Cricetulus griseus: one gene and its partners. The protein of the gene in region 3 purifies or fractionates together with the protein of the main gene of each other region. This does not show direct contact. Links are inferred from orthologs where the notes say so. Each region holds a gene or a part of one and is shown on either strand. Other genes may lie near its edges.

Region 1 (3,518 bases), on a different chromosome or scaffold from region 3:
GTTATATTACTTACTTGAATTTACAAACCAAATAAATGATGCTTCTAGTTAAGAATGTCTGTGATGGAGCTGAGGAGGTAGCTCAACTGAGAGAATGCTTACATAGCAGACACAAAGCTCTGCATTCAACCCAGCATTTTGTAAACTGGGCATGCTGATATGAATCTGTAATCCCGACACTCAGGAGATGGAGAGTCAGGAGAACTGGAAGTCTGAAGTTGTCCTCAGCCACATAATTAAGTCAAGGCTGGAATATTCAGGATGCAAGGTTTACGTGGCAGGCACTTTAAATGTGAGGAGCTAGATTGGGACTCCCAGCTGCCACATACATAAAAAACCAAAAGACTCATTCCCAGGGCTGGAGATGCAGAGAGACAGACCATCCCTGTGCTGGGTGGCTAGCCAATCTAGCTGAATTGGTGAACTCCAGGTTCAGTCAGAGATATTTCAGTCATGATAGTACCAATTATAAACATTGATGAATTATAGTTTAAAAAGTAAACAAAACCTGGAAATGGAACACATTTATATATTCATTTATTTATTTATGGTTTTTCAAGACAGGGTTTCTCTGTAGCATTGGAGCCTATCCTGGCACTCGCTCTGGAGACCAGGCTGGCCTCGAACTCACAGAGATCCGCCTGCCTGCCTCTGCCTCCCAAGTGCTGGGATTAAAGGTGTGTGCCACCAACACCCGGCTCGGAGCACATTTATTTATTTTATGTGTTTGAATGTTTTGTCTGAAGGTATGTATATGTATATCTACCACATGTGTGCTGGCTGCCAACAGAGAGAGCCAGTTCTCCTGGAACTAGACAGAGTTACAGATGTTTAGTGGAGCAGGTCCTAGGAACCAAACCAACAACGAGTACTCCTAACTGCCTAGTGGTCTTTTTTTTTAATAATTTATTTAACTTTATATATATTGGTATGAAGGTGTCAGATCCCCTGGAACTGGAGTTACAGACAGTTGTGAGCTGCCATGAGAGTGTTGGGAATTGGACCTGGGTCTTCTGAAAGAGCAGCCAGTGCTATTAACTGCTCAGCCAACTCCCTAGCCCTTTATTGGGATGGGATAAAATAACAATTAAAGAAGACACGGACTTCAAGTTCTGGCCTCTACATGCAGCATACACACACCCATTAGACTTGGCTATTTTGGCAGGCATTTCCACAGAAAAATTAAGTGAGCCTGGTACTTCAAGGGAGACAACTTAAAACTGTATTTGTTACAAATGCAAAGATTTTACTTAGTCAACTTTTAACCAGAATAGGAATTTGAAGAAATCTCTTTCATGCATTTGACAGCTTTTCAAACTTACAGAATTTCCTCTTGATGTTAGTGTTATTTTAATAGCTATAATGTCTATCAGATAAGGAAATACATTAGCATTTAGATTTTCAAGGCTTCAGGAACCACTATTTTCTAAATGACTAATATGTTATTATAAAGTCATTCATTAGCTGGGTGTGCTAGTGAAAGCCTGTGAACTCAGGTAGGAGGATCTGGAGTTCAAGGCCAGTCTAAGCTATTTAGTGAGCTCAGGATCAACCTTTCTTACAATTCATGCCTGCCTTTACTGCCTTTTAGGTAGATATAAATATAAAATTGTGGAAAAATGGATTCACAGTCAATGATGACTTTAGAAGTTACTCTGATGGTGCAAGTCAGCAGTTTCTGAACTCCATCAAAAAGGGGTAAGCAGGATATATATATATATATAGTAGAAGGGTACTTCAGGCTAGTTTCTTATGAAAGAATCATTGATCTTTATCTTTCTCCCCATCCCCTATCCCTCCCCTCTCACTCTCCCTCCAGGCTAGCCTTAGACTCAACAGTACACTGCCATCTTGTTTTCTCAGAACTGGGATTAAAGACCATGCCCACCCCAAACCCCTTTTGTTGTTGTTTTACTTTTTTTTGAGACACAGTTTCTCTGTGTGACAGTCCCTGCTATCCTGGTACTGTAAATCAGGCTGGCCTTGAGCTCACAGAGATCCTTTTGCCTCTGCCTCCCTAGTGCTGGGATGAAAGATGTGGTCCACCATGCCTGGCTTGTAGTGCCTTTTTTATTTTTTTTAAATTGACATTTTCCTTAGAGAGCCATAACTAATTTTTTTGTTTTATTGGTACTGGGTCTCAAAATACAATATTGGCTAACCTGGAGTGTACTATGTAGACCAGACTGGCCTCAAGTGGAATTATGGGCATGCACCAATAAGCCCAGGATACAGCTATAATTTTGAAGTTTAGGAATTTGAATTCTGATCCATCAAAGTCTTGCCACTTATTCCTTAATGCCATACAAATAAGTACATATACGTGCACACACACAATAAAACTTTTTAAATTAGCATCATGTTGCAGTGGTGGCGCACACCTTTAATCCCAGCACGTGGGAGGCAGAGGTAGGCAGATCTCTGAGTTCGAGGCTAGCCTGGTCTACTAGTTCCAGGACAGGCTCCAAAGCTACACAGAGAAACCCTGTCTGGAAAGAAAAACAAAACAACAACAAAAAAGTAGCAGTGTGTAATCAAGTATTATGAATTTAATACTATTCTAGGTAATGCTATAAAACTGGACATGTATCTATTTATTTATACATATAAGACACCCCTGTGTGCTACAGTGTCCATATTGGAAGTCAGAAGACACTTGGCAGGGGTTTGTTCTCTCCTTCTACCATATGGGTTCCAGAGATGAAACTCTTATTAGGCTTGGTAACAAGTACCTTTACCAGCCCTATATATTTTTACAAGGGTCTGTTGTAGTCTAGGCTGACCTCCAACTTGCTTTGTAGTCAAGGAGAACCTTGAACTTCTGATCATCCTGCTTCCATGTCCCAAGTGCTGGGATTGTAGTGTGTACCACCATGGCTTGCTTATATGCTGCTAAAGACCTGCACATGCTAGCCAAGTGCCCAGCCAGCTAAACTACCTCCTTAATCCATACATTATACTTCTACAAATCATGTAGTTCTTTTGGCATATGGAATATGTATCTCAGAAAAAGGGAAAATAGGAACTTCTTTTTTTTTTTTTTTAACTACTCATATTTACATATCCATTCCCCATTCCCTCGTCCTCCCCTCCTCCCATGTTCCCCACCCACACCCCACACCCCACAGGCCTCCCCACTTCTCCCCAGGGATAGTGAAGCCCTCTACCAAGGACCTTCAAAGTCTGTCATATTGTTTGGGGGAGAGTGTAGGCCCTCCTTGCTGTATCTGGCCTGCAATAGTATCCCTCCATAGGGAATGGGCTCCCAAAGCCTATTTGTGGGAAAACAGGAACTTTATCGTTTTCTTTTCTTTCAAAGGGAATTACCTTCAGAACTACAGGGAATTTTTGATAAAGAAGAGGTGGATGTTAAAGTTGAAGATAAAAAAAATGAAGTATGTATGTCTACAAAGCCTGTATTCCAGCCCTTCTCAGGACAGGGTCACAGACTAGGAAGGTAAGTATGGTTATTGTGACAGACGTTTTCTCATTATTCTAACCATATAGAACTTAGTATT
Region 2 (3,518 bases), on a different chromosome or scaffold from region 3:
TCTCACTCCTGCACAGATGAAGCCTCACATAGGAACACACAAGTAGACAGAGACAGGGACAAAGAGACAGAGAGACTAAATAAATACATATGTATGTACTACTGTGTATCTGATTCCTCTACTAAGACATTCCATCCAGGAGGCAGGAGAAAGGGAGGGAAGCAAGATGGAGCAGTAACAAGAAGTGACAAGCACTCCCTGCTGCCTGCTCCAAAGTTAGATAAGCAGTAAATAATTGGTAGGTTGGAGGAGGCTTTTTAATGAATCTGCCTACAAGTTGGGCCAACAATTCCAGGGACCTAACTTTGATGAGTGGTTGACTTGGTGGGGTGGGCTTGGTGACTCATTTGCCTTTCAGTTGTCTGGGTTCCTGTCAGTGTCCCTAGAATCCTCATTGTTGCCTCAGTCTTGACATGGGGAGAATGTTTCTTTCATAACTAGTTTGTTCACATCTGCCCAGCAAGAGTTGTAGCAAATGACCAAAAATGAACAGAGTTCCTCTTTTAAGGGTTTGTGTTTTTTCCTTCTGTCCAAGTTTGAACATCTTGAGCTGTACTTCTATGTTCTTCAGGCTCATAACCAGCTTCAGTAATAGATGGCAAATTTTAGTAATCTCAAGAACCAAAAGCTGTTCCTTGGATTTTATAAAACACTGTGACACCAACAATGAGAGCTTGACTCTAGGCAGGAAAACAGTGTAAGAAAAAAATCAAAGTAGACGGTGTGTTCAAATACAGTTGAGCACAGATTCAGAGTATGACTGCCTTAACAGTGGTCGATAGCTTCCTACAGTGATCCAAACCAAGATTTGATTTCAAAAATGGTACAATGCTTTTATGGCAAGGAAATCTTTATGTACGTTGGGATGGGATGGTATATGATGTATCTACCTGGGAAAGGATGCACTTGCCAATATATGAGCATATAGAGGCCCCAGGAAGGCACTAGATGTCTTCCTCTATGACTTCATATATGTTTTGAGACGTGATCTCTCACTTAACCTAGAACATGCTGTTTGCCCTAGTATCCACCTGTGTCTACCCTGCCATCACTGAAGTTACAGGCACATACCCCAAGGCCCAGCTACTACGTGGGCACCAGGGATTCAGACTCAGGTTCTCAAGCTTATACAGCAAGTACTTTACGCACTGGTTGCATCTTTGTAGTTGGAAAGTCATCATTGTCACTTTTGTGGTCCTCTGTGTCACTTTTGTGGTCCTCTGTCTCCTCCTCCTGTGGCACGGGGGATTCAGCTTAGAGCTTTGCACATGGTAGGCAAGCCAGGATAGAGCTTTCACAAAGCTGGTCTGTGGACAACCTGTGTCCATGACCCTCTTAATTTTGAGACACAATCTTACAAAATTGTGCTGAACTTGAACTCACTCTGTGGTGTATTTCACTTTTTCAAAGGTGATACTTTTTGTGTGTTTGAAGGGCAAAAAAGCACCTCATTCCTTTTTTGAGCACCCCAAATCACATATCACATTCTCCTATTTGTTGGAGAACATTTAAACCCCACCCAGTTAAGATTGCTCTTGGGAGCCTGTTAGCTACCGCAGGTCAGTGTCTACGCTGGCCCCATGACTCCGCATATTTACATCAGAGAAATATATTTGGAATAGCTAAGTGCCGGTCTGGGGAAGGGTTGCTTAGATAGATCTTATGTGCTGTGCATTGTGCCAGGCACTCTTAAAGCATGGATGCTCACAGGAACTCTATGTGACGTTCTTTCTCACTTCTAGGAAAACAGCCTGCAGGAACAGAGTCTAGAGTCCCACACAGAGGTATCCAGAGCTCTTGCTTCAGGCATTGCTGACACCAAGTAGCTCCCTAGTGGGCCAGAGACAGTTAAATGGACCCAGAGTGCCTTATGCCCTCTTAAAGAAACTGTCACATTTGTTCACCACTTCCCATATCTATTTTTGTTTTCAAACAGACTAAAGAACCCATAAAGAAAAAAGAAGACGAAGACGTGAAACAAACAGAGGATGAGAAAACCAAGCAGATATACAAGAGCTGGAAGGAGGATTCCGAATGGCAGGCATCGTGTGAGTACCCCGGGGCCTCAGAGGCACCTCCAGGCTCGAGACTGGACCTTCCACTTGAGTGATTCATCAGGAGGCACAGAGAGTGCATCCTTGAGAAGTACCTTCCCATTGAGTTGTCACTCAAATGGTATCAGGAAGTGGTATCTCCTCAGGTGCCTGAGTAGCAGAATGGCTTTGCATTCATCTTTATACTGTTAAATTATGTTTCTGTATGGTGGAATTGTATATAGCTATGAAAAAATCCCACAGAAGAATATTCAATGACATTAAAATATGTCCCTTTCTTGGAGAAGAAAACATTATAAATAGTATAAAATATAATTATTTAAAAATTCTAAATTATTATTACTATTATGTTCTTCTTCTGTTTATTCACTCTGCCTGCCAGCCCTGCCTATCCCTTCTCTTGCCTGCCTTGTTATTGGCTGTTCAACTCTTTATTAGACCCATCAGGTGTTTGAGGCAGACAAAGTAACACAGCTTCACAGAGTTAAATAAATACAATATGAAAGAATGCAGCATATCTTAGCATCTTTAAACAAATATTCCATAACATAAACGAATGTTAACATATTTTAAAATAATATTCTACTTTGTAATACAAAGCATGCAGAATTGACAGATGGGATATATTTGCATCACTCTCACGATTCTATGCCTCTGACCCAACATTGACTCTCTTTTGAGCTTGTACTGCCAGGGCCAAACCAGGAAGACAGGACAGGCAGAGGATGGGCAACCCAGGCTGAAGAATGGCTGAGAGTCTTCACTTGGCACCAACAGAGAAGACTTGATTGTCACTTGAGACAGGGAGACAGGAAGAACCTAAACAGCAAGATTTTCAGGATGCTAAGGTCCTGAATTGGTCTGCAGTTCCATTACAATCCATTATGCTAAAAGTTTTGTGAAACAAAAATTATTTGCAAGATCCAATCTGTGACCTTCTTGTGCTAAGCACTGAAACTCTCGTATGATAAATAGTTTTTAGTGTCTTCAGTGTCAAATATGACAATATCTAAACCACAATGCCTGAATTATTTTTTAAAAAAAAACCTCAATGAAAATGGTTATTGAAAAAAAAAACAAAACAAGACACCCCCCCCCCCCGTGAAACTTCGAAGTCAGGGATAGTAATGCATGCCTTTAACCCCAGCACTTAGAAGGCAGAGGTAAGCAGATCTCTGTGGGTTCAAGGCCAGTACTGGGATAACCAAGGCCACACAGAGAAACCATGTCTCCAACCTCCCTGCTCCCAAAGTAAATAGTTACTACATCCTGCATTAATCTTTAACGCTACACTGCTAAAAGATGACAACCCCATCTATTTTAGAAAGTAATTAATGTTAAAGGGCATATTGTGAAGTGTTTGTACATTTACTAAGGTGTTCTGAAATTCTCCACAGCATGTTTATGGCTTAAAAAAAAAATCCTTTACTTCTGGTCTCTTTGGCCAACTCATATTCAGTTAAG
Region 3 (3,354 bases):
CTTCCAGTGACCCTTCACCCTGCCTTCCCCGCACTGCATTCTCTTCCAGTGACCCTTCACCCTGCCTTCCCCGCACTGCATTCTCTTCCAGTGACCCTTCATCCTGCCCCCCTGCACTGCATCCTCATCCAGTGCCGAGGCCTGTTTTCACATGTAGCCTGTCTGTCCCATGGTAGGTTCTCAGACTACAGAGGTCACTTCTCCAGGAGTGGTGCACTGCTTCTTCCTACAACTGCTTGCTGTAGACCCTGCACCTAGAGTGTCTGCAGACATGACTTCTGACGTCTACATGGGCAGAACAGGAGCTGTAATAAGAGTCCTGAAGCTTGACAGTAGACTTGGCTCCTCTATTCAGGCTGTTGACATAGCAGCTTGCCCTGCCATTTAGTTTCTCTGTCTTCAAAGCCGTAAGTGCAGTAGATCACATCTGGCCTTAGTGATATGAGTGGCCAATTGTGCACACCCCTAACAGGTATAGTTAGTGGTGGCATATTGGTGCTAAGTCAGCCACGGTACTTACACCATAGAAAGTAGCACATTCAACTGATCATGGTTTTTCTGTCTTGTAGAACAAGCTGTTGGTTAAACATTTGCTAGCATAACATGGCCCATATCTAGGTGGCTATTTTGCTAAAGGTGCCCTTCCCAAGCTTCTGCCTCAGCACATAGACTAGAAAATGGGTTTGGACAGTTTAATCTGGTACTGTAGATTCTTACCCAAGGTAGCTTTGTCTCAAAAAATTGATCCCAATCTGAAGCCACATGCATCTGTTGGACAACATCAACCATTTCGGTCTCATCTTGATGGCACATTTGAGAAGGGAGGGCACTCTCCTACCAGGCTCAGACCCCAGCCCACTGTGGGGTTCAGTGTTCCTCATCTGGTGTTGGCAGTGTTGGTCAGCCATTGGTGGCCTTTGCATCCAGGAGTTAGCAGTGGAGACTCCTCAGAAATGAACCACCAAGGTGATCTAAGGGTCATGCTTGGAGTAGAGCAACCTCTGGCCAGTGGCATTACAGTTGGGGCAGTCTCAGTCTTGGCAGCAATTGGTGAGAGCAAGTATGTAGAAAGAGTAGCCAAGCCAGCTGCAGACCTGCCTATGGCCAGGAGGTATGCAGCCAGCATGCCTCATCTCTTGTTGTTAATGAACATAGTCTGTGCATGAGCAGGTAGAACTTTTCACAGTGCTGCTGAAAGGTGGCCAGGAAGTGCCAAGTGCTAATGGAAGGATCTATGAGGAATTGGGATAAGGAGGGCTATAGAGTAGTGGTTGTTAACCTGTGGCTCGAGATCCCTTTGGCAAGCCTGTCTCAAATTATTTACATTGTGATTTATAACAGAAAAATTTCAGTTATAGAGCAGCAACAAAAATAATTTCATGGCTGGGGGTCACCACAACATGAAGAACTGTACTAAAGGAGTGAAGCTTTAGGAAGTTGAGAACCAGCTCTTGTAGAGTGTATTAATGACCGCCGTCTCATATTTAGGGTTCCCGGCACGTAGGGGCAGGGCTGACCTCTAAAGACTTTTTTCTCATGTCTTCCTTCAGATGAATGACAATCTCCTGGAGAGCTGGAGTGACCTTGATGAGCTCAAGGGTGCCAGGAACCTGGAGACTGTGTACCTGGAGCGCAACCCCCTGCAGAAGGACCCACAGTACCGGCGGAAGGTCATGCTGGCTCTACCCTCCGTGCGGCAGATCGATGCCACATTCGTCAGGTTCTGAGTCCTCCTTGCTCCTCACCTGGTCCCTCTTCCCAGCCACGGTTTTTTAATCTACCTATTGCTCCTGAAGTCGTCACTATACCAACAGTCACAACCCAATGGCAATAATAAGGCACTGGTGGTAGCTGGCCTGAGACACCACACACCATTTGGAGATGCCAACACTATTAAATCTTGCCACGTGGTCTTCCTGGTGAATTGGTGACGGTTATTGTAGCCATGGAGAGAATGCAGGACATGTTACAGTCATTTGTTCTTCCTGTCTGTCTATGTCCTTAGCCTGGCCTGCCCCAGCAGGCCCTCAAATCAGTTTGCAGGGTTTAAGCAGTCATGACCGATAGCAACACATTTGATAGTCTTTCAGACTATCAGTTTTGAGAAGAAAAAAATTATATTTTAAAAACAATTGCATAAAGGGGCTCTGATCTCAGATGCTGTAACCCTCAGAGCCTTCCCATCATGAGTGGTGGCTGAGCACACTGGGCTGTAAGACCTGTTTCTAGGTGAGAGCTGAGACATGGAGACCTTCACTCCATACCCCTCAACTGTTGACCTCGGTGATTCTCAGAAGCGTACCTAACTAAAGCTCTGGCCACTCCCGTTCTCGACCATGATCCTCTGGCCTTATTTAGATGACATTTCTCTGAGCAAACCTCTAGGGCATGACTTGTGCTGCAAGAGCATTGTCATCCTTGGGAGCCTCAGATCTCCTCTTTCACACTGTAAGGACTGAATGTGGTCACCAAAGGCCCCTCTGCTTCCAGGACTCTTCGTTCTACACTAAGATGGGCCCCTAACTGCCATGTGCTGCAGTTACTGTTCATACCTAAGTCCAATGAATTTATTTTATCTCTTAATTGTGCTCACACTTTATCTGTTCAGGGGCCACATCTAGTGGGAGGCATCCCATTTCCAGCATCGCAGAAGGTTCTAGACAGCACTGCTCTAGACTTCTCTCAGTATCAGGGGATAGCCTGCCTTGAGCCGTGCAGCATGTGCCCACATGTCCACACTATCCAGTTAACTGCAGGAGTTTGTAATGTAAGAACGCTAACATGGGGTTTAACACCCATTTCCTGATTCTAATTCTCACCAAATAAACTGTATGATCTGAATCTGTGCGGCATCTCCCTGTCAAGAAGCAAGCTCTTAGCAAGGAAGGGTGGGTGGAGTAGCAGGCAGCCCAGAGAACACTGCCATAGCCCTAGGAGTGTGGGAAACATTTTGGACACAGAAGGACTGAAATGTAGGTGTCCCTACTGCAGTCACTCACAGGAGCCTCACACATCCAGTGATTCCATAGTGTATAAAGAAAGCTAATGGGGGGTGGGGTGGCAGTCACCAAAGCAGCACAACCATCTCAAGGATGCAGCTGCAGGAGAATCTTAGCTAAGTGGAGCAGACGGGAACATGTCTCCAAGGGAATTTAAATTCTAGAAAGCTATTCCTTAAGCAAGCAGTGGTGGCACACACCTTTAATCCCAGCAGTCCAGAGGCAGAGGCAGGTTGATCTCTGTGAGTTCAAGGCCAGCCTGGTGTACAGAGCTAGTTACAGGACAGCCAGGGCTACGCAGAGAAATCCTGTCTGAAAACTCAAAAAACAAACCCAAAAAACAATCAAATAGAAA

What was found.
Region 1: the proteins of Ppp1r7 (region 3) and Ubxn2a purify together in Homo sapiens (affinity purification with mass spectrometry; 3 studies listed by BioGRID and IntAct, counting the BioPlex papers as one, with this or other methods). This does not show direct contact. The link is inferred for Cricetulus griseus from reciprocal best matches to the Homo sapiens genes PPP1R7 and UBXN2A.
Region 2: the proteins of Ppp1r7 (region 3) and Sh2d4a purify together in Homo sapiens (affinity purification with mass spectrometry; 3 studies listed by BioGRID and IntAct, counting the BioPlex papers as one, with this or other methods). This does not show direct contact. The link is inferred for Cricetulus griseus from reciprocal best matches to the Homo sapiens genes PPP1R7 and SH2D4A.

What each region holds. Positions count from the first base shown.
Region 1 is NC_048600.1:15,658,174-15,661,691, reverse strand, and holds part of Ubxn2a (UBX domain-containing protein 2A), read left to right. Parts: intron 1-1,591; coding exon 1,592-1,698; intron 1,699-3,319; coding exon 3,320-3,457; intron 3,458-3,518. UniProt on the Homo sapiens protein: Acts to repress the ubiquitination and subsequent endoplasmic reticulum-associated degradation of CHRNA3 by the STUB1-VCP-UBXN2A complex in cortical neurons.
Region 2 is NW_023276806.1:245,081,206-245,084,723, forward strand, and holds part of Sh2d4a (SH2 domain-containing protein 4A), read left to right. Parts: intron 1-1,936; coding exon 1,937-2,048; intron 2,049-3,518. UniProt on the Homo sapiens protein: Inhibits estrogen-induced cell proliferation by competing with PLCG for binding to ESR1, blocking the effect of estrogen on PLCG and repressing estrogen-induced proliferation. May play a role in T-cell development and function.
Region 3 is NC_048595.1:444,832,961-444,836,314, forward strand, and holds the end of Ppp1r7 (protein phosphatase 1 regulatory subunit 7), read left to right. Parts: intron 1-1,550; coding exon 1,551-1,727; 3' UTR 1,728-2,841; downstream 2,842-3,354. UniProt on the Homo sapiens protein: Regulatory subunit of protein phosphatase 1.